2 linked regions of the Struthio camelus genome follow. The main gene of each other region encodes a partner of the protein of the gene in region 2 in a complex. Links are inferred from orthologs where the notes say so. Each region holds a gene or a part of one and is shown on either strand. Other genes may lie near its edges.

The links. The genes of interacting proteins can lie anywhere in the genome.
Region 1: the proteins of NUMB (region 2) and YWHAH are in contact, whole or in part, in a crystal structure (PDB 5YQG), measured with the Mus musculus proteins. The link is inferred for Struthio camelus from reciprocal best matches to the Homo sapiens genes NUMB and YWHAH. Residues at the interface, in NP_001129547.1 of Mus musculus: Gln274, Gly275, Ser276, Phe277; in NP_035868.1 of Mus musculus: Arg57, Arg132, Tyr133, Leu177, Asn178, Val181, Glu185, Ile222, Leu225, Asn229.

Annotation. Positions count from the first base shown.
Region 1 is NC_090958.1:8,471,731-8,482,362, forward strand, and holds the start of YWHAH (14-3-3 protein eta), read left to right. Parts: upstream 1-5,796; 5' UTR 5,797-6,452; coding exon 6,453-6,539; intron 6,540-10,632. UniProt on the Homo sapiens protein: Adapter protein implicated in the regulation of a large spectrum of both general and specialized signaling pathways. Binds to a large number of partners, usually by recognition of a phosphoserine or phosphothreonine motif.
Region 2 is NC_090946.1:43,241,538-43,251,720, forward strand, and holds the start of NUMB (protein numb homolog), read left to right. Parts: upstream 1-6,069; 5' UTR 6,070-6,090; intron 6,091-10,183. Other genes in the region: HEATR4 (HEAT repeat-containing protein 4), read left to right, coding at 1-144; RIOX1 (ribosomal oxygenase 1), read right to left, coding at 3,168-4,937. UniProt on the Homo sapiens protein: Regulates clathrin-mediated receptor endocytosis. Plays a role in the process of neurogenesis.

The DNA of each region.
Region 1 (10,632 bases), on a different chromosome or scaffold from region 2:
TACCTGGATGTTGAACCTGCATGAAACACTTTAGCGGAGCTAATTGCTTTTGGAGAAGAATTTGCAAGCTATGCTTGCAGATGATGTCACAAAATCTGACCGTGCTGAGATACAGGTAGCTGAGCAGAGTTCAGACACAGGCTGTCACTTCCCCATCCATGAGCTGGCACAGAGTGGATGCATAGCTGTACAACAGAGGAAGAGATCAAGTGAATCTGTGCTTAGAGCCAGTGCACTTGGCCTTCTGCGCCTGTGGTGCCGAGTTGAGACGGTCTCGTGGGACAGCGTGGTGGAGTTCTTCAAATCATATTACATTCACACTGGGTTTGCACTTGAATTGTTTAGTTTATGTCTTACCTTGTTCTCATTTCCTAGCTGTGATTTATATCCTAGCCTTGTTCTAGTTTCCCTGTCCTGCCATATGTAGCAGGCTCTGGATGTGTTTATATTCTTCTTCCTCGGAGCTGTAATTAGAAGTGCTCTGAGCACGTGGCTGACCTGCCCTGAGCTGAACGTGCTGTACCTGCTGTTGTCATTCCTCCTCCCCCTTAGCATGGCATGGCCTAACAAAGGAAGGAGCTTGTCCTAGATAGAAAAAAACAAAGCCATTTTTATCTTTAAATTCATAGGAGAGCCCAAAGAACCAAACTTGCGCATGTCAAATGATTACAGAAAAGGGATGGAAATCTAGGAGCGTCTTCAGAGGCTCTGTTAATTAGCCGTCTCTGAGGTGAGAGAGCCGTTTTCCCAATGGGCAGGCAGTCAGATTTTCCAGGGCTGCTGCTAGAATCAGCTTTCCTCTTGGCAGTTCCAGCAGATGGGCCTAAGGCTGGCAAGGTCAAGACTGAGCTGTTGCCGAGTTAGATGTGTGGTATAGAAATGGCAGTATGGAGGACTTGCGCGCTGCAGCTGCCCCTGAAAAACTTCTCTGAACCTAATCTGCTACAGTGCTAAAGGGGATTAATCACATGAAAAGTTGCTTTTGCTTTCCAGTCCCCTTCACAGTCCCTGTCAGCTCTCACAGTTACGGCATGGGCTGGTCTGAGGCCCGCTCCGGACAAATGGCAGGGCAGACAACTTGAAGGGCAATATTTTCAGGCAGTCTCTCATTCTGGATGCCTGGCTTGACTTGCTTGGGGCCTCATTTTCAGAGGAAACGAGCACTTATGCATCAACTCAAGTAGGGCACCCAGAATAAGAGGCCACTTTTGAAGATTTTGGCAAAAGCATTTTCGTTTATCTCTGCGCTTCATTAGACTCATCTCCAAAGTCTTTCATGTAATTTTCTGTAGTGAAAGGTGATTGTTTCAGATCCATCATTTTCAGGGGAATTTAATCCAATTCTAAGTCAAGCTAACCCACTTTGGTAAAGTTTGAAGAGCAGTAGAAATTCATTTGTTAAGAAAATCTGGACTTATTTCTTAAATCTGGCCATTGATTCAGAGTCCTTAATTGTGTATGCACAGCGTGATGCGTCTTGGGGGTGATTCCGGAAATGCTGGGCATCTACGTTCTGACCTTATCTGTAGGCTGCAAATGCTCAGCACCTCTGAAAAACCGTGCGGTTTGGTAGGACTGTTTTTTTTTTACTTGCAATAGTCACTTTTTTTTTCTTGTTAACTTGTAGAGGCTTTTTTCTATATGGCGTTCTGCTCAAGGTTTCTGACAAGCAGGCGTTTTCCTGTTTTCCTGTTTATTGTTGTAAATTTGAGTTACTTTCATTTGATTAATTATGTAAAGAATAAAAACACATTCCTCTATCTGGACAGGACTATGGCAAAGACTCTGGTCTGAAGCAGCTTTGTAAGAGTTAAAGCTGCTTTCTGTTAGCTACTGTGTTCTTGCCACTTACACAAACCTCCATAACTGAGCATGCTTCACAGCCTCCTGTGCATATCCCTGAATCATTCTGGCAAGCAAAAACACTGCCATAATTTTTTATTCAGACATAGTGCTCATTCTTCACTGGACTCTGAAATGAGCAAGTGCTTGAATATAGCACACGTTTCATGGGAGAGTTCAGAGGATTTACCAACTCCTGTCTGCACAGGATTTTGAACATGCAAAGGGCTACTGCGTATGAATGCTGAGTGGTATTAAATATATTGCAGTGTTTGCAAGTAGGTTTCTGCATACAGACCTAAGCCATTCCCATGAGGGAGCAAGCGCTTCACGGATTTTGCACAAATCACTACCCTTCTCTTCAAAGGATCTTCCCCCCATTGCTGAATAGGTGTGTAGTGTACTTTACCACAATTCACAGCAGGAACCCTGCTGGTTCTGAGCAGCGCTCAGGCAGTGTAATCTTTCTGCCTTCCTTCTAGATTTTACCTTTGAGTTATGAGGGAGGTTCTGTGAGAATGATTACAGATTAATATGAAATTGAAATATGACAAATAGTAGAATATTTTCACACACACTGTGACAGCCCAGAGGGTTTTGCTGCTTGTTAAACTATGGTGTATGGTTTGGCTAGAAATACATCATTGAAATTATAGTCCCTTGTGGTTTGAGAAGGAATCATCACACTTCAGCTACACCCACTGCTATCTTCTGCTCTGATCTTGTCATTGGTTACAACACCTTCCCTCCCTGATGTGCACTTATCTCACTTTATTGCGGGGATGTGCTGCCAGGATTCTAACAATAAAAATTATAGATAGTCCTAAGCCTGTGAAACAATCTGTCCTTACCGCACAGTCTGAACATCCTGCCCCCACTTAAGTGCCAGCCCCAGTATTTCTAAGATCAGGTGCCCCCAGATTCCCCAGCTCTCTTTCTCTACCATCCCCATCTCTGCTCCCTTTGCTGTGATGTGGGAGCTGGTCATCCTCCTCCAGCACTTGGCAGTTGAGTCTGCGCCCTCTCTGGTTTTCAGTGCCTTGTCCCTAAGACTCAGTATCATTTAGCAGAGCCCTAAATAAAAAAAAGCCCTAAATAAAAAAGAGTAGAGCTTCCTTGCTTCAGAGAAAGAGAGAATATATCGCTTTCTCCAGGAATGAGGAGAATATTAACAGCAGGGATTTTTCACTACCACTTCTTTAGTTCCATGAGGCTCAGGAAGAAGGATGCGAAAAGTGTGATCCTTGCTCGCCGTTGCCAGAATAACCAAAGAAAATGGCCTTTGGCAGTGGTGGAAGACTGAAAGGCTCTGGTATGGCATCGCTATCAGCACTTAGTTTCCCTGTCATGCTTCCTCTACACCAGTATGCCTCATAGCCCTGTCCCCTCAGCTAAATGTCGGCATTGGGGACAATCTCTTTGGGAGTGCTTTGCTGTCCCCAGTGCCCCTGTGCGGAGCTGAGCGGTGAACTCGAATGGCATTTCGGCAAGGAGCTATTTGTGGAACATCGGTGCTGTCCAATAATCAGACATGCCAGTGGAGCAGAGCCACTGCCTTAGGTCATGGTGCAATTTTCAGTACCAGAAGTTTCTCCATCTACAAATTCTTGCTGGGTGTGGTAACTACACCAACAACTCAAATCCTGCCTCATGAGAACAGTATTTCTGAGCTCCTGTCTGGACTTTGCTGGGAATCGTAGAGCTGCGTAGTGTCATGTACGACGCTGGGCATCTGAGCTCTGCAGGAGAACCACAGAGCTTGGTAACATGTTGCACCCCGTTCAGCGCTGTAGGAAAGGGTTGGCTGACTTTTTCATTTCCTTTCCATTTTTATTTTAAAGACGTTGTGAATAAACTTCCAAACGTTGTAGCAGATGGAAACCCATTGCATGAGCACTAATTGTTTTTTATTTGTACCTTTATAGCTCCTGGGAGCCACTGTTACTGCGGAGGATTGAGGGCACTAGGTGCTGTACACGCAAGGGAAAATAGGTACTCTCCAAAAGACCTTGTCTGTTTGAAATGTGCTCTAATTACTTTGTTTACAATCACGCTATAGAATGCTTTGTAAAAGGTTGCCTGATTTTACCGCTTTTTCTTGCTAATGTTGGATTTAGACGTGTATCTGATTTTAAAGCAATGATGTGACGTACCACCTTGCGGGTTCGAGGTTAAGAATTTTTGAGACGCTTTAGACCGAAAAATGGCCGTTTACACAGAGGCTTCAATTAGAAAAAAACCCAAAGTATTTCATGAGAATATTTTTTTGTGTGGGTATATCCACATATATCTGAAAGATTAATGTAGATTCTCTGATTCAGTGGGTAAATGAATATAACTGGTTTTAAAAATACTTCATAATCTGTTTCCCTCAGGAGGCTGAAACTGCTGTACAAGACTGGAAAGTATTTTCTACACCCTACAAATTTTCACAACTGTTGGCACACTGTGCCAGATGGATTAATCTTTACTAAGGCGTTGGTCTAAACGGCAAAGTTTCCAAAGTTTAAGAATTGGATTGAGGATTTTGGTTTAGCCCATCTCTTACCATTGTTGCATAGGGTATTAGATACTTTAAAATCTGTATTTTTAAATTGAATCATGCCTTTTCAAGAACATAGTCTTACAGTCCATGGACAAAACTTTATACTTAGGTAAAATCAAAAAAAGTTTTCCTTTAACGAGGATAACGAATTGGACTGATACTTGGGATCCATTCTGTTAAGATTTTACATGTCACTGTCTTCTCTTAAAAACCACAAAAAATGAGGTAGGAAAAAGGCACTATTCAGCTTGCAGATCTATAACTATGTACTTCACAGTATTGCAAAGAGAAGAAAGTTACTTCCTTAATCTTGTGGCAATCAGTTTACACGTTGCTACGTGAAGTTTTTATCTTCTATATTTTATTACACATGACTTCCCTGTATTCTTATTTTTCACAATATTCATTCATCTCCTTTAAGAAATAAACAACTGAATTTATTTGAATATTCATCTAATCCCTTTAAAAAATTAATGACAGCATTTATTTTATGTGACTTCCAGGGTTAACTCTGTCTGAAACTCTCAAAACCCCGTAATGCCAGGGTTAAGGCTTTAACTTTTGGCTGACACACTGGACCAGATTTACTCGATTACAACAATGCAATAGTACTGACGATAACGGGAGACTAATGTCGTTAGTGAGACCAGAATTGGTCCCCTGCCTCTGGTGCATGCTAACGTGCACTCCTTCCTCTTCCTGGTGACAAGAACAGATGTGGACTTAAATTTATATAGGTGTTGTGGTACTGAGGCTGTGATGCTGAACTGTTTGATCATGAGCAAATCTTTCACTCAGATGTGCAGCAGTTCCCCATATGTAAAATGGTGTGCTGATGTTTAAATGCTGTGGATTGAGCAGAAACAGATTAAAATGTCTATGACTTCACATAAAGAAAAGCAACATGCATGCATGCTAGCATTTTTGCAGATACCAGCAGCAGCTGTGTCATTTGTGCAGCATTGTTCTTTTAAGATGATTTTTATGTAGGGCTGGTATTTTGTTAGTTTACTAAAGAAGAGCCTGACCATTATGAATTAAAAAACGCAGTAAAACAGAATTTAGATGAATCACTCAGGCAAGGTAACAACAGAATTGGCCTATACTTACCACCCTCACAACTAGGAATGTTTCAAAGCAGCTGGGATGAGAGATACGTTTATTTAACTGGAGCGAGACACAGCCGTACAAATGCAGCAAGATAAAGCTTGTGCTGAAAAGACACGGTAGCATAAAGCAGTCATGGCGTGTAGGCAAAATGGCACACGCGTAAACAGCGCGTAGCTGCACAGGGAGGACAGACAGCTCAGGTGGTCGCACGCTCTGCTTGAGCGGCTCTTCCTTTGCGATGATGCCTGGAGGGCAGGGTAGGGACAGGCGGCGAACTGGGCGGTAACTGACCCTTCTGTGAGCCGTTTCGAGTTGGGCCGGGTGCGGGGTGCAGGAGAGGAGAGGAGCAGCCGCCGCCGCCGCCGCCCGGCCCGGCCCTGCAATGCCCGCGCCCATTGCCCACCTCCACCTTTGCAGCAGTAAAATGCAGCACTCGCAGCGCGCATGCGTCCCCCCCCCCCCAGCCGGCGCCCCGGGATGGCTATTTATAGCAAGTGACGTCACCTAGAAATAGAACGCGGGGGAGCAGCGCCCCCCTCCCCTCCCCTGCAGTCCCCTCAACTCCGCCCCCTCGTTGCCTTCCTAGCGCGCAGGCGCAGGCGGCGGCAGCAGCAGCGCGAGGCTCCGAGCCGGGCGGAGAGGCGCGAGCTGTGCACGCCGCGGAGGGGACGGAGCGAGCGCGCGGCTACCCGCCTTGCCGCGGCCAGCGAGCGCGAGGCGCCCAGCGTCGCCTGGCTAGCGCGGCCGGGGTGAGCGGCAGCTGAGACGAGCCCAGCGGTCGCTGAGCGAGCGAGCGAGCGAGCGAGCGTGAGGCGGCGGCGGCTCCGTTTCGGTTCCCTGCGCGCAGTCGCATACTCGCACCGCAAGCCCGCGCGTTTCGAGGCGCAGGTTCCCCCCTTCCTCTCTCTCTGAGGGGCGCAGAGTGCCCAGCCCGGCAGCCACCACGGAAGCGGCCATGGGGGACCGAGAGCAGCTGCTGCAGCGAGCCCGCCTGGCCGAGCAGGCGGAGAGATACGACGACATGGCCTCGGCCATGAAGGCGGTGAGTGGGGCTGGCAGCGTGGCGGCTGTGGGTCGTACCCGGGGAGGAGTGCTGCCGCGGGGGTAGTGACGGGGGAGGATGGGAGAGGAAGTGCGGGCTGGGCCGAGGCGGAGTTGGGTCCTGGGGAGGGTGCGAGCCGCCAGGTCCCACCCGTCGCCCTGAAGAAAGGGGGGCGGGAGCGAGGCTGTTCCGCTGGGACGCCTTAGCGCCGTGCGGGGCGGCGCCGGCTGCTACCTGCCTCGGCGAGAGCAGCGATGAGTAGTAGCCGGTCCAAAGCGGACCCAGGTTTCCCCCTCCCCCTTCCTTATTTCTTTCTCTCCCCTAGCTGCTCCTTCGCAGCCCTCCCGCTCCCTCTGCTGTCCCTGCCTCGGGGGTGTGGCTGTCCCCTCTCCTCCCCGCTTGCCCCGCCAATCCGGCGCGCAGCAGGGCAGTTTGAATGCTGCCCGCCTCGCCCCTGCGGCGGCGGGAACCTGGCGGAGCGTCTCCCCACCCCAGCCCGAGATGCGCGTGTCTCCCTGCCCCCGGCCGCTGGGAGTTAGCGTGGGATCCCGGGTGCGACCTTGGGGTGCGTTTCCAGCCCTAGCCGGCTGGCACACACGAGCAGTTGGGAGGGTGGGGGGAGCCTGGGAAAACCGCGCACGGCAGAGAGAGCCCCTTCCTTTTCTAGACGTTTCTTTCGCCTCACGATAAACGCCCGAACAGAGGCCTCACCCACAAACATGGGTGCTCTGATTCAAAGACGGTGTAGTACTTGCATTCGGGTATAAAAGCCGCACAGTGCGTAAAGTCCGCTTCCCGAGCTGTAATGCTGCCTTTTTGCCTCTTCTTTGTAGGATAAGCATTCTCACTGCATTCCTTACACATATGAATACTGAAATGTGTTTAAACCACAAGGTACAGTCGCAATTCAGCTTCTCTCAAAACCGAGCAATGAAAGTTATTTGTACTGACCTGTCTGTACTGGTACATAAATAAAATTACAGAATGGTAAAACGTAAAATGTCTAGTCCCTTTTTCTTTAAACAAAATACTCCCATCATCTGAATTTTAAAGGTAATGTTAGTAAATGTTGAGCAGTGTCTTTGCTGTATCTGCTTACAACTGATTTTAGAGTCTTGTTGATCTGTTCTTTGTGAACGCCAAAAGGCCCCAAGAGGTATTGGGTTTCCCTTGAGAACGGTGCTGTTTAAAGACATGAGATGATTCTGGTATGAGAGAGCAGCTTTAAGGGGGTTGATTCTTACGACAGAAATGGTCTTATTTTCAGACTGATACATGTCACATTCCTTAAGCGAGGGCTGTGAAAAGACCTTTATTTTACTCTGGTTTTTTTAATTGTTAGTCATTTATAACTTGATGGTATTATGGCATTGCATATACCAGGACCAACCCAATTCTAAAGCAGAAATACTTTTGAGTATCTCAATAACAAATATACTAGGCATTAAAATGAAGAAGCTGCGTTTTAATATGTTACTAGAATTCGTGATAGTTATATTTCCACATAACCACTGAACTATGGTGTCTGTGTGGCTCCCTGAACATACATGCGACAAGAAATGAGCAGAATAAGAGTTGCTGCGCTTCAGGATATATGTAAATAAAGTGTATCTATAACTAGTATGCATGTCTAGTTGTCTTTTTAAACTGTCCAAATATTGTTTTACTTCACTTCATCTTGAGTCACAATATTCTCTTTGTTAATACTGTTTTTGCTCTCTAATAAGGTGTATAATGATGAGCTTCTGTAATTGGAAACTTGTTAGCACTTCTTAAGTGAGCTGAATTTTGAGTATTTATGAAAGAATGTTATATTATAGACATTATACTTCAAAAAAAAATACAACAAGCAAATTCAGCAAAGCTGAATTTAAAGGGCAACAGTTTAACATTTCAAGCTGTTCACTTATTGTAATTGTGTGCCTATAATACCATATCTAGTAGTTACTTAAATGCCCTTCATAGGTGTTCGTTCTAACATGGTAATTTCCAGAACGCTCTTTTAAAGTTTGATCTAAATTTTGCAAGTCGGAGCTTAAGCTGCTATGAAATGTTATTATGTGGGCTGTCTGTTCCCACGCCACTAATTTTTCCTTCATTTTCAGTGATTATAAACAACAGCTGTTTAGAGAAATTTCTCTCTGTATAGAGTAAGATATCAAAAGTATCTTTTATGTTGCAGAGATGGTAGACTTCCTTCAACAGGAAATCAGTGTTGTAACTCAGATACCTATTCCCAAAGCAAAATGTTTTGATTTCAAACGATTCTTAAAAAAAAAAAAAAACCCAAAAACAAAAAACACGAAACTCTGGACTTAACATATCTGATGTTTTTAAAATTGCTGGGTAATTGGCATGAAGGTGCTGTATGAAAACAGTGTGCTTCTGTTATAGTAGAAATTTGAATGGGCAATTTCAGTTACAGGTATTTATCACCATATTTTTACTATGCATGATACAGCAAACAGCCTTGCAGTTGCTCCCAAAACATGAAGTCACAGACTATTTTAGCAAAAGATCCTCACTGAAGAGGGGGGGGGAAAAACAAAACCCCAAAACCAAAAAAAAAACTACGAAGACTGGCATTTTAGATATTGGTATAATACTGGGGAAACACTTGTTATTTTCCAGTCTTTTCAATTAATTCTTCCGTAGAACAGCCAGATGAAGTAACAGTTGTAGCTTAAATAAGGGAACTACTGTTTAATAGTAGTTTTATTTGTTGCTTTTGAATTTTCTTGGAAGAATTCCAGTATTGCTGCTTATAACATATAGACAGGAAAGGAGAATGAAGCTTTCATGTAGATTGCTGTGAATGAATTTAATTTACTTTTTTGTAGCCAAAATTTTCTTTAAGAAAAATACAAGCATATGTGAATATGCCTTTAGTGAATGGCATTCTTCCAAGGGGTGTGGCATGCTCATTGCATTAAACGTTGCTCTTAGGATACCAACAATTTGAAATAGCGTTACATGGTAGGTTAGAGATTGCTTCTGAACAAAGCAAATGCTGAAGCTGTGTGTGGGAGAAAAATATGCTTTTAGTGTAAGTGTTGCTGTTTCTCACTTGTCTGAACAAATACTTTAAGCATATTGGAAATACTGCTTTGAGTGCTTTTGTTTTAGACCATTCCAGAAATAACGATTGTGTTGATTGGGAAATAAATATTAAACAGTTAGACTATTTTGCTGTCTAAACCCTTAGTATTTCAGACTCTGAATTCCGATGTGTAGTGCTCAGGAGTTCCATTCATGTATGTTGCTGTTCTAGTGTAGCTACATAATAAGTATCTAGGCATTTATACTTCAGTTGACTCAGGTCCATCTTAACAATTTCTAATGCGAGGATCTACAACTTTAAAAATTAGTCCTGTAATACTGTTTATCTGGGCTTACCACTGCAATAACATACTGGTATTGCTGGGTATGATCTTGGGATTTTTTTTTTTAAAGCAAAATAGCTGGAGGTCCTGGTTTAATTTGTATACTTTATCTCTGTATGTATATAGACTTAAAGTTTGGAGTGTTACATGTTTTTAGTGCTGTAACATCGAGTTCTTCACTTTCAACATCAGTGCCTGATTTTGGTTAACGAAGTATTTGTCGGGGGGGGGGGGAGGGGAATGAGATGCCCTTATTATAAACAGTATCCTCCCCTACTGTGAGATGACTTCCTTACTGTGGCTTGATACAATAAATCTAGTTACAGAGCTTCTAATGTCTAATGGAAAACACTGAAGCCACGTGATGCAAAAAACTGATTTGATTTAAATTCTTTCTTCTGGTTCCTATTTATTCAGAAGTTACGATCTATAACTTTTTACCAGGGTAGTTTGTAATGATTCAAGTATTGTCTGGTTCGTGCTACCCTCACTTCATACTGGATCAGGTATAATCTTTTTTTTGCAGCAGCAGCTTGTGAAGGCCTGGCACAAGTTCTAATACACGCTTTGGCTAATAAAAACCACTAACAAAATACTCTGCCTAACAAAACAGAAGTGTGGTCACGTACATGTAATTGATCCAGGTCACATTCACAGTACTAGGTAATCCTGCAGTGCATAAATGTGCTATTAATTGTGGAACCTTTGCT
Region 2 (10,183 bases):
TGGGCTCTTCACTATGAGGAGGAGCCGGAAGTACGGAGAGAAGCCTGCTGTTGCATTGCCAGACTCCACTTGCAGGATGAAAATGTTCGGGCTATGCTATTGGAAAGATTGATTCTGGAGCCAAATGAAATGGTCAGAGAGTAAGTCATTAAACTCCACAAGAGCACATAACCATGGCAAACTAAAGTCTTTCTCTTACTATAGTCTTATAAATAGATACGAATGTAAGCCTCTGAGTACATGCACAGTGCACATATACTCTTTTTTTCCTAAGGCTGCCTCTTTCTTTATAAACACTGGAAGATGACAGTAGAGTAGAGAAGGGGAGACATACATACAAAACACTTCTTGGAGTTACTGGCAAGCCAGGCTCACTGGGCAGATGATCACAGGATGAGGGTAGGGAAGATGTTTTTCTCCACACTCCACTGTAGGAGCCCCAAGAATGCTATGGAAGAGACCACAGAAGAAAGGAAGTTCCAGGGCTCTTCTCTCACCCCCACTGTCCCAATCCTCTCCAACCACTTCCTAAGTTTTCAAATAGGAGGCATTAAACCTGCCCTCTCGCTTGAGCTGCATAGCCCATGGTATCATGGTTGGAGGCCTTATGCATGCAAGGAGAACTGGCAAGCTCCTCTGTTTTTCCATCATTTCTGAAGGAGGGCAGGACAGAAGCACCTCAGGGCTGCAATTCTTAAACCGCGGTCCACAGAGCAAATGCTCATGGCCCGTGGAAAGCTAGACAGTAATATGAGGCTGACCACAGCATTTGCCCAATAGTAAGTTTAAAAGATGCAAGTTTTTTTCTCTGTGTTAATCCATCACTGTCTCATTTGTCATAGATATGCTTGAAGTCTGGGGGAAGAGGGGGGTAAAAAACCCCCCAAAACAAAAAACAAAAACAGAAAGAGAGAAAGACTATCTACTATAAAGTTCTCACCTCAAAGCCTGCATCCCAGCCCCACCACTGTAATAGGGCAACTGCTGAATCTGAGCCAAGAGAGATGCACTAGTCTTAAGTCTGCCCATTAGAAAACCACATTTTGAATATGTAAACACTGATTCACCACCAGTGTTCCTGGTAACAGCTAACAATTCAGTCATTTGCATCTCCCTCAACTTTCCTTTTTGTTTCCCTTTCCCCCTTAAGCTATTTTTATACAATTCTGCTCTTCTCAAGCCAAACCCCACCCGAAACCAGCGTGTGGGCACCAGCCTTAACTGCTCAGCTCGCACAGGGCCACTTCTTGCTCTGTTCTAGATACTTGTGCCACGTGAACAAACAAGGGCATCCGTAGCACCCACACCAGAGCTGGACCTCGGAGGGTCTGTATGGTAACACAGGCTGGAGCACTGTAATCCCTCAAAGAGACGCTGGGACAAACTGCCATTTCCTTCAGCCCTCCCTGCTGAAACCCCATATAGGGACACTACAGGGCAAGCTGGAGGAAAGAAGTATTACCTAGCGGATCTAGGAAGCATGTAATTTTTTGAGGTTCTTTCTTCCTTTTGAAGAATTTGCTATGTGCAAATAACACATCATTATATTTTATTTCATTTATATTTAGAGAAGTGGAAAAAGCTGTGAAAATCCTTAATTTTCCCCATGAGGAAGATCAAGAAATGATTAGAGAGATCAAGAAAGAGGTAAGGAGAGCAGCTCAGTGAAAAACTACTGTTGTTTTTTTGGTATTCTGCAACTGCCTAGGAACTACATGAGGTTCAATCTGGTACTCTTACGCCAGGGCATGGCCAGGCATAAGGTCACAGTATTTACCATCTCGGAGAAAATATCTAAGCTTGGGGGTGGGGAGGGAAGCACATGAAAACTAACAGGCATTTAAAGTTTTCCACAGAGCATTAGGTACATCTGATTAGGTATAGAAGAAACATAAATCGCACTCATTGTAACTTTTCTATATGCCACAATAACTTAGCTGCCTCACAGGAAGCATCATTTCTTTCTTAGCAAAGGAATTCCAGGGAAGTGGGGGACACCTTCCACAAAAAGCGTCAGCAAATTTATCAGGTGCTTTCACATCTGAAGATTTAAATTAACTTGCAAGACTTTGAACTATTGAGGTAAATAATCTCACCTAGGCTTCTCCCATGACACGTCAGAGTGAAACAAACGTGCTGTGACTTGTATGGCCCAAACAATAGTTTATTTATTTGCACCAAATATAATTTTTCAATTAAGAGAGAGGACTTACTGTCACACTCACCTGCCAATGTATTTGATCCAGATTTTCAGGCTAAGCCAAAAGGACTTGGTGACCCAGAAACTACTGAAACTTGAAGAGGTTACGGACTGGCTGCGGCAAAAGGCCAATCGAATCTGTTGGAGCAGGGAGGACCTTGACTCTGAATGCGAAGACATCCTGGAGAGGATCACTGCTGTTTTTCAGTCCACTCCTGGTAATTCTAATACAAAAGTTTTAGAGCTATTTCTCATCTGAACTACGCCAGTACAGAAGAAAACATCCCTTGGTTTTCTGAGCTCCCTCTGCAGCGAGAGGAGGCACTACTAGTCAGTCAGTAGCTCCCTAACAGGCACAGCAAAATTATGTAAGGTTCATGCATTCAGATTCATGAAAGCCAAATTCTGAAGTAGCATATGAAGGTCAAGGGAGAACTTATCTTCTGTGCAGAAAGCCTTCACCACCCTCCATCCCAGCTGCCTTTCCAAACCCCTAACCCTGACACAAGGAAAAACAAACTGTTAGAGAATGCCCTATTCTAATTCAGTCCAGCTAGCCCAAATTTCGGCATGGCTCCTAGGTGACCATCCGCAAATATGTCTTTAAGTAATGAGAGTACTTCCCACAGTAACACAGGCTGCTTTAAAACAGTGTAAGCACCCAGCTGATCTGCAGACTGCAAAAAAGTTCACTAGCTTCCTGAAGTTACCTAGGATGCAGTAATATGGTTGGCAAAAACAAATTAAGCACCCGTCTTCTCTAGTCACTTAACCGTGCACAGTTCAACAGAAGACACTTTTTTAATGAGAACAATGTTTGATTTGTCTACCCAGGTCAAAGCCCTTCTACCCTCAGATCAGAAACGGAGATCCAAAGCGCTGATTCACACTCAGCAGCAGACGTAAGGTAAGAGCAGGAGACAATACTTTATAAACAACTCTATGTTTATTTTGTTCAAGAATAGAGCTACACTTGCACCAGAGGCTTCTTAGTAGTCAGAATGCCCTTCTCAAACAGGAGTGTGGCTACAGAAATCTTGTCCTCCAAGGTTTCACATGGAAGGGTATCCACACTGACATGGTTTGGATAAGAAGACAGGAGAAATTCAATACTGTCTGTATACTCGGGATCTATCTCAAGGGACTTGCACTCTTCTTTATGATACACTCGTGAGTTTTCTGTCGTGTAATACAGCATCACACCAGCTTCCTCATTGCACAGTCTAATGATGCCATGCCGGAGGAGGCGTACTTCTGTGTCTTTCGTTATTAGTATATCGACGTCGCGGGTGCCTCCATCTTGCCACCGGGCTGGAAATCCATACACGCTCAGCGCCTTTTCATTTTGTGTTAGCACCGGGGGGAGACAGTCGTGAAGAAATGACTTGGCTCTCTGATCCACGGCAGCATCAATAGGCGCATAGTCGATAAGTTTCTTTATCAGACTCTGCACCTTCTCCACAAAAGCTGTTCGGCGAGCATCGACTACGTCCGAGTTGGCGACCCCCATGTATCCCAGGTAGTCCATGGGAAGCCCTTGCCGGTACTCCACGTCCTCCTCCAGGGCCATCTGCAGAGCAGCCGGGAGGAGCTTCTCCAGGAGGTCGCCCCAGGAGTTCCTCTGGTAGGACGACACCGTGATGTGGAGCGAGTGCGCATCAGGAAGACAGTCACCCTGGTGGATAAACCCCCGGGGGAAGTACAGCAGGTCCCCGGCCTCCAGCACCGCCTCCAGAACGGGCTCGCCGAGTTCAGCCTGTGTGAGGTTTGCGCTGGAGAACTGGGGCAGCACCTCGGCTCCCGTCCGGGGGCCGTAAACGCGCCAGTGCTTCTTCCCCTCCAGCTGCAGCACGAAGGCCTCGATGTCGTCGTAGTGGGGGGCAAAGCCCTGCGTGCCCGGCGGCGTGAGGTAGGTGTTGGCGCCCGCCATGCTCCCGAAGTGCTCCTGCAGGATGGAGAGGAACTGCCAGACGGTGGTGGAGAAGGCCTGGGGGCAGAGGAGCCGCAGGGAGCACCCGTTCTGGTAGAAATCCCAGACGACGGCGGGCAGGGCCCGGCCGGCGGGGTTGTGGGTCTCCCGCACGCCCTCGGCGTAGCTGGTCACGTCCAGGTGGGTGCCGAAGCGCACCTCGCCGCTCCGCAGCGCGGCGTCCAGCTCGGCCGTGGAGAACAGCCCCGCGTAGTAGCCGGGCTCGCCGCGCCGCACCAGCAGCGGCGCCCGCTCCCAGCGCCGCGCCACGAACTCCCGCGGCGACACCGGCGCCAGCAGCCACCGGAACAGCTCGGCCGCCCGCTGCCGGCTGTCCTCCAGCCGCCCCAGCCGCGCCAGCAGCCCCGCCACGCCGCCGCCGCCCTCCGCCGCCGCGGGGCCGGCCGGGGCTGGGCCCGGCCCCGGGCCCGGCGCGGGGCTCTCGGCCGGCGGGCCGCCCGGGCCCGGCGTGGGGCCGCCCGGGCCCGGCGTGGGGCCGCCCCGCCGCTTCCCCGCGGGGCTCTCGGCCGCCGCCTGGGCCCGCTGCAGGCGGCGGGCGGCGGCGGGGGGTGACGGCGCCTTGGCCGCCGCCTCCGCGCCTTGGCCGCCGCTTCCCGCCGCGCCGCGCCTTGGCCGCGCCTTGGCCCGCTTGCTGCGGGCGGGCAGCGGCCGCCCGCCGCGCCGCTCCAGCCGCCCGGCCCCCGCCGCCCGCCGGTACACCGAGAGCGCCGACACCCGGCGCCGCTCCTCCGCGCCGCCCGCCGCCATGGCCGCGCCGCTCCGCCCCCGCCGCCGCCGCTTCCGCCGGGGCTGCCGGCCACGCGGGGGCTGCCCGGCCGTGCGTGGGCCCGGCGAGGGTACGTCCGTGCCTAAGGCACAAAGCAGAGACTAAAAGTGGTTTTTTTTTTTGTTTTGTCCTGCCTTCTTGGCCCACAGACAGCGTTTGGGTATAAAGGAACCACCTGATCTCCCCAGGGCGTCTGGCCGGACAAAAACTTTCCCCGCCCCCCTTTTCTTTTCCCGCGCGCGGAATTTCACGTGCCCGCAGCGCTGGGGGCGCGCCCCGCCCCACGCCGGGCCGCCCAGGCGGGGGGCTCCCGGGGAGGTGAGCGCCTCGGCCTTTATGGGGACAGCTGCCTGCCTGCCCGAGGAAGGACTTCACCGGGAAGTGTGCTTGTGCTGCTTTATAAAATTTAATATCTTACATTTTCTCATAACATCTGCTTAAAACGTGAAGCTTATTTGTGCCCCCACTAAGAAGGGAAAGGTAAGGCAAGTGCCGGAGGAACCTGACTCGCGTGGGCGTGTGTTCCCTGGCTGCAATGCTGCTTTCCATAGATGCGCTATAAGCATCTCTAGAAAAGATTTTCCAAAAGGTGTATCATAAAGATATTGTTTTGGACGATATGCAATTACTTTACACTCTAATAGGGTCAGATGAGGTCAGACTACTTCATAAGGCTCTGCTACACAAGGAACAGAAATCAAAGTTGGATGGGGTCTAATTCTGGTTTGTCTTCCCTCCTCCTCCCCCTTTCTTGTGTTTGTAATGCAGATGCCAGGTGAAAGGCTACATCCTCTTGAAGGATCTGCAGAACCAAAACGCTGTCAGGTCATACCGTGGTTTTTTGCCAAATCCTTTAACTGCGTAATACTCTGCACACACCTTTGTCTGTGCTCTCCCCATCTCTCTCCTAGACCTGAAGCTTCCCGGCGCAGCGCTGTCGGCGGCCTTGGAGGTGCTCTGGCAGCCGGAGGGCTCTCGGCCGGCCGTTTCAGACGCTGCAGGTTCGGCAAAGGAGGCTACCGCAGCGCAGAGGGCAGGTGACGTAACCAGCGAGATTCAACTCGTGGAAAACGTGGAGAGCTGTAAGGATTGTCGTTGTCGTGCTAGGCTGACGTTCTTCTGCTCAAGAACAAGGTGCCATACTTTTGTGAGGAAAAATCTTTGATGGAGTCAGATAATTTATGAGAACAGATTTTGCGTAAGAATTTTGGCTCCTCCTGTTAGCCTAAAGCATTTAACTGGAGCAATTTAGCCAAGTGTGCTCAGCAGCATTCTGGCTTACAAGGGTGTTATCAGCATCTCACAGAGGAACGTATCAGCGTCACACCATATGTTAAATAAGCAGCTAACGTTCACAAGGCATGCTCAGGTCTGCTGTGTGCGCCACTTAGCATAACAGGCCCAGGACACACAGCCAAAGAGTGAATTTTGACCTTTTTTAACTTCAGCATTGTCAGGATTTCAACTCAGGTCTGTATTTAATTTTTCACAGAGTTCAAGAGCATTCATAGCAGAAATCATTAGTTAGGCCATAAATAAGGATGAGTTCAGCTCTTAAGTCTAATTCTGGAACAGATTCAGACATCTTAATGGTTTAAGATTTTTTGGTTTGTCTAAAAAAACCCCAAATCAGCCTCTCGTTTAAACAGTGTTGACGGGGTGCACTTGCCAGCAGGGGTGCACTGGCACTTTTATTTGCAGCTCCTGGTTTGTGTCCACACTTAAGATGATGAGCCCTAGTTTGGAGGTCGTTGTTCCTCGGGGGGGGGGGGGGGGGGGGGGAGAGCACTGTCCCGCATGTGCTACAAACGTACAATGGGAAAATGTCTGCAAGTTGTGCTTTACATTGGTATGTGAAGAAGTAAAACGTTAGGAGTTTCAGCTTCTGTTTTGATACAACAGGCCCAATTCTGTCTCAGCAAAGCCAGGTGATGTAAACTAGGACTTCCTGTCCCATTGAAAATAAACTCTGATACATCTCCATTGGTTGAAACGCACATCTCGGCCAACACTTGTGTACATGATACAGATTGCGTAACTGTAACGTGTCTGTGGCTAGTCCCAAACCATGTTACTTGGCCATGATACTGCTGCTTGCTCAATCCTGCCTTTTCAGAATGCTGCTATACTTTTAATCTTAAGTGATTTCAGATGTGCACCCAAATTTATTTGGAAATATCATAGATATCTTAAAGGAATCTAAATCATCTATGAGAAGTAAAAAGATACATACCAGCTGGTGAGAATTCAGTGGAAGCCAGGTTCCTCTAATAAACCATTATAAAGCTGGTTTTGAAAAAACATAGATTTGGGAGGTGAGAAAGCTTTTCTTTGCTTCCGCATCTCATCAGCGTGTTAGAAGTGGCCGAGACAGATGTTGTATGAATGCAATGCAACTATTTTCATTTCGGGTGTGTTTTTTCTCTGTACTTTTTCTGCTGGTGCAGCCTTTAGAACAAAAGCTGTTACACCTGTGTGGGAAGAGCAACAACAGCAGAAAGCTGTTCTGTTGAACTGCAGTGGTTTAGGTGAAAGAGTCCAATTTGTGTGCATAGACGGTATTTTGGCCTTGGGTTTCTTGAACGTGTCACGCTTCGCCAGTAGGGGGCAGATACAGAACAGTGGTTGAATGAAAACAGCACATTTACTGGTACTTGGTATTGTGCTAGGAAAGACTTCCTAAAAATATCAGAACGTGAATATAGACTTTGCTTAGCAAGATTACTGGTTTGGATGGCTTAAAATGTGAGGAAAGCGAAAGCTGTCTGTGTGTGCATGTGTATGCCCGAAGAGAAGGAAGGGTGAACTCCGTATTTCAAATCATTCTTTGTTTTCCAAGGTTAAGCCCTGCGTACCGGAATAATCTTATCACTTGAAACTGTTTCAGCAGAACTGGGCCCTTAACAAAACCAAGATGCAAACTCTTTGAAATATGGTAGAAGCTAGACTATTGTGTGCTGTAATTATATGTAAGCCTGGCTAAATAGGCTTTGGCGGGGGAATGACATTTGAAAAATCTGGCCTTCTGAGTTACTGCTTAATTTACTCTAGTGCAATTGATTCTTCTCTGGCACTGAACACTTTATGTAAAGTCTGATCTGAGTTACACCAGAATAACTTTAATGATTACAGCAAAGTTGCTCTGGATGTTTACCAGTACAGTGAGCTCAAAGTCTCATTGTAGGGCTCTGATCTTAACATGAATGCCACTTTCTACCACTGCAAGATGATAGACATTGGATTTGTTGATATATAACAAAGTCTGAAAGTGAAGGACATGGTGAAAAATAATGGTGGTGAAATCTCTCTAATAATAACATGTTTCTTGTGACAGTTTAGCCTTTCTCATATTAAAGGCTTTCAAGAATAAAGAAGAATTTTTGCTTTTTTTTTCTGTGCAGCACATGAAAGGATTTTGACCTAAGGCAGAAAGAGAGAGCTTCAATATCACTTTCAGAGTACTTAGATGGTTGTCTGGGAGTAGCCAAAAGCTCTACATGCTATTTTCATTCACTGCCCAATATTTCAAGGAAATTTCTCATAAGGGAAGAACAGTGTCACAAAGAACTCTTTAAATAAACAAAAGGAAAGTAGCACAGATCTCTTAATGATTAGGTGGTCCCCAGCTGCTGCTCACATAGACATAGTAGCAACTCGAGGCTCAATTAAACTTCTTAATTAGAATTTAGCACAAAATTACTCAGATTTTATGAGCGCATAAGCTTCATTGCCAAGAGCTACACACATTTTATTGAAGAGGACACAAAAAAGGTAGTGAGTACAACTTACTAAGGAGCCGCAAATGACTTCTGAAGAAAGATGTAAACAGCACCTCCAAGAGATGTAGTGTTTATTTGATAGTTTGACCTTATTCCATTAACTGCTCAAAGAATTGAAGTCCTGAGTTTAAAGAGCAGTTCAGACAAGGCCTGATCCTGCAAAGGTATTAGCAGTCTTCACCAACCAGTGGAAAGAATAAAATTCTTTGCAGGATTGAGCCTGTGTCACATTTTTCACTTCTCTGTGCATTGGATACGCAATTGTTCTGCATAATGCAAATTGTCCAGCACATTCTCTTTGTTCCTGGCAAACCATTAATGTAAATCAGTCACTTTTTGAAAGTTAAGCTAAGTTCAATCCTTTTTCTCATTATTACTTTGCTGGCAACCTACCTCTTGCACTGTCAATTTTGTTTGCGTGCCAAAAGCAATAGCTGGTAAGGAAAAAGAACATTTCAAGCCTTCAGTAACAGGTTTCATTCACCAGAGCCCTGATAATCTTTCTTACGCAGCCCAGCAACATCCAGTATGCCATCACTGTAAGGACACTGGGCAGGACTGAGAAACATACTTCTCCTTGTGAAAGCTGTAACGTTCACTGCCAGATAACAAGACTGAAAGCTAATTCAGGGACTGTTTTTCAAGAGCTATCCTCTGGCCCCCTCATCCGAGTGAATGCACTCACTCACTGAAGCATCTCTTGCCAGAATTTCTGGCATATCTCCAGCTGTTTCTCTCAACTCAGTGATTTTCTTATTCAGTGACTGGTCCTGGTCTTTAATCCTGTCTATCTTGTACACAGAGCCCCACTGAGAAAATAAGCCTTCCCTGCCCTGGAACAGTCTGATTAAAACAAATTTATAAAAATAATAATTAAAAGGGCCAGGCCCTCTATGAAACGATCTTTTTGGAGGAATTTGGAAGCACAGACATTTCCCCTTGCCCTATATGACAGTAAAATACGCACTTTGTAAATTAAAGCGGAAATTAGATAAAATTTGGGAGTAGGACCCTCAACTGCGTTGTCACCTCTCATTCCCACTAGGATCACAGGGCTTATTTTGTAAAGCATTTCTGAAGTAGTTTTATGAGGGTTTTTTTGTTCTTAATACTTGCCATCTAACATTTGGTAGGACTGAGCAGATACCATCTGCAGTGACTCTGTAGGCAGTGACTAAACACAAAGCCGCAGACTCCGAGACTCCAGTCTTCTTGCTTTTCAGCAGAGGGAGAAAAGTAAATGGCCATGAGGGGAAAATCCACATCATAAAATGAAGGCAAAGAGAATGTGAATGAAATATTTGCCCTATGGGATTACTCACATATGGACAATTGAGATGGAAGGTATGTCAGGCTGCTCCCGCATGCATCCTGTATCTTGTGCTAGAGAGTACTCTTTTAATATGCACAAAGCATGGCTCCTGACAAGCTGTTTGGGTTAGGCTTTT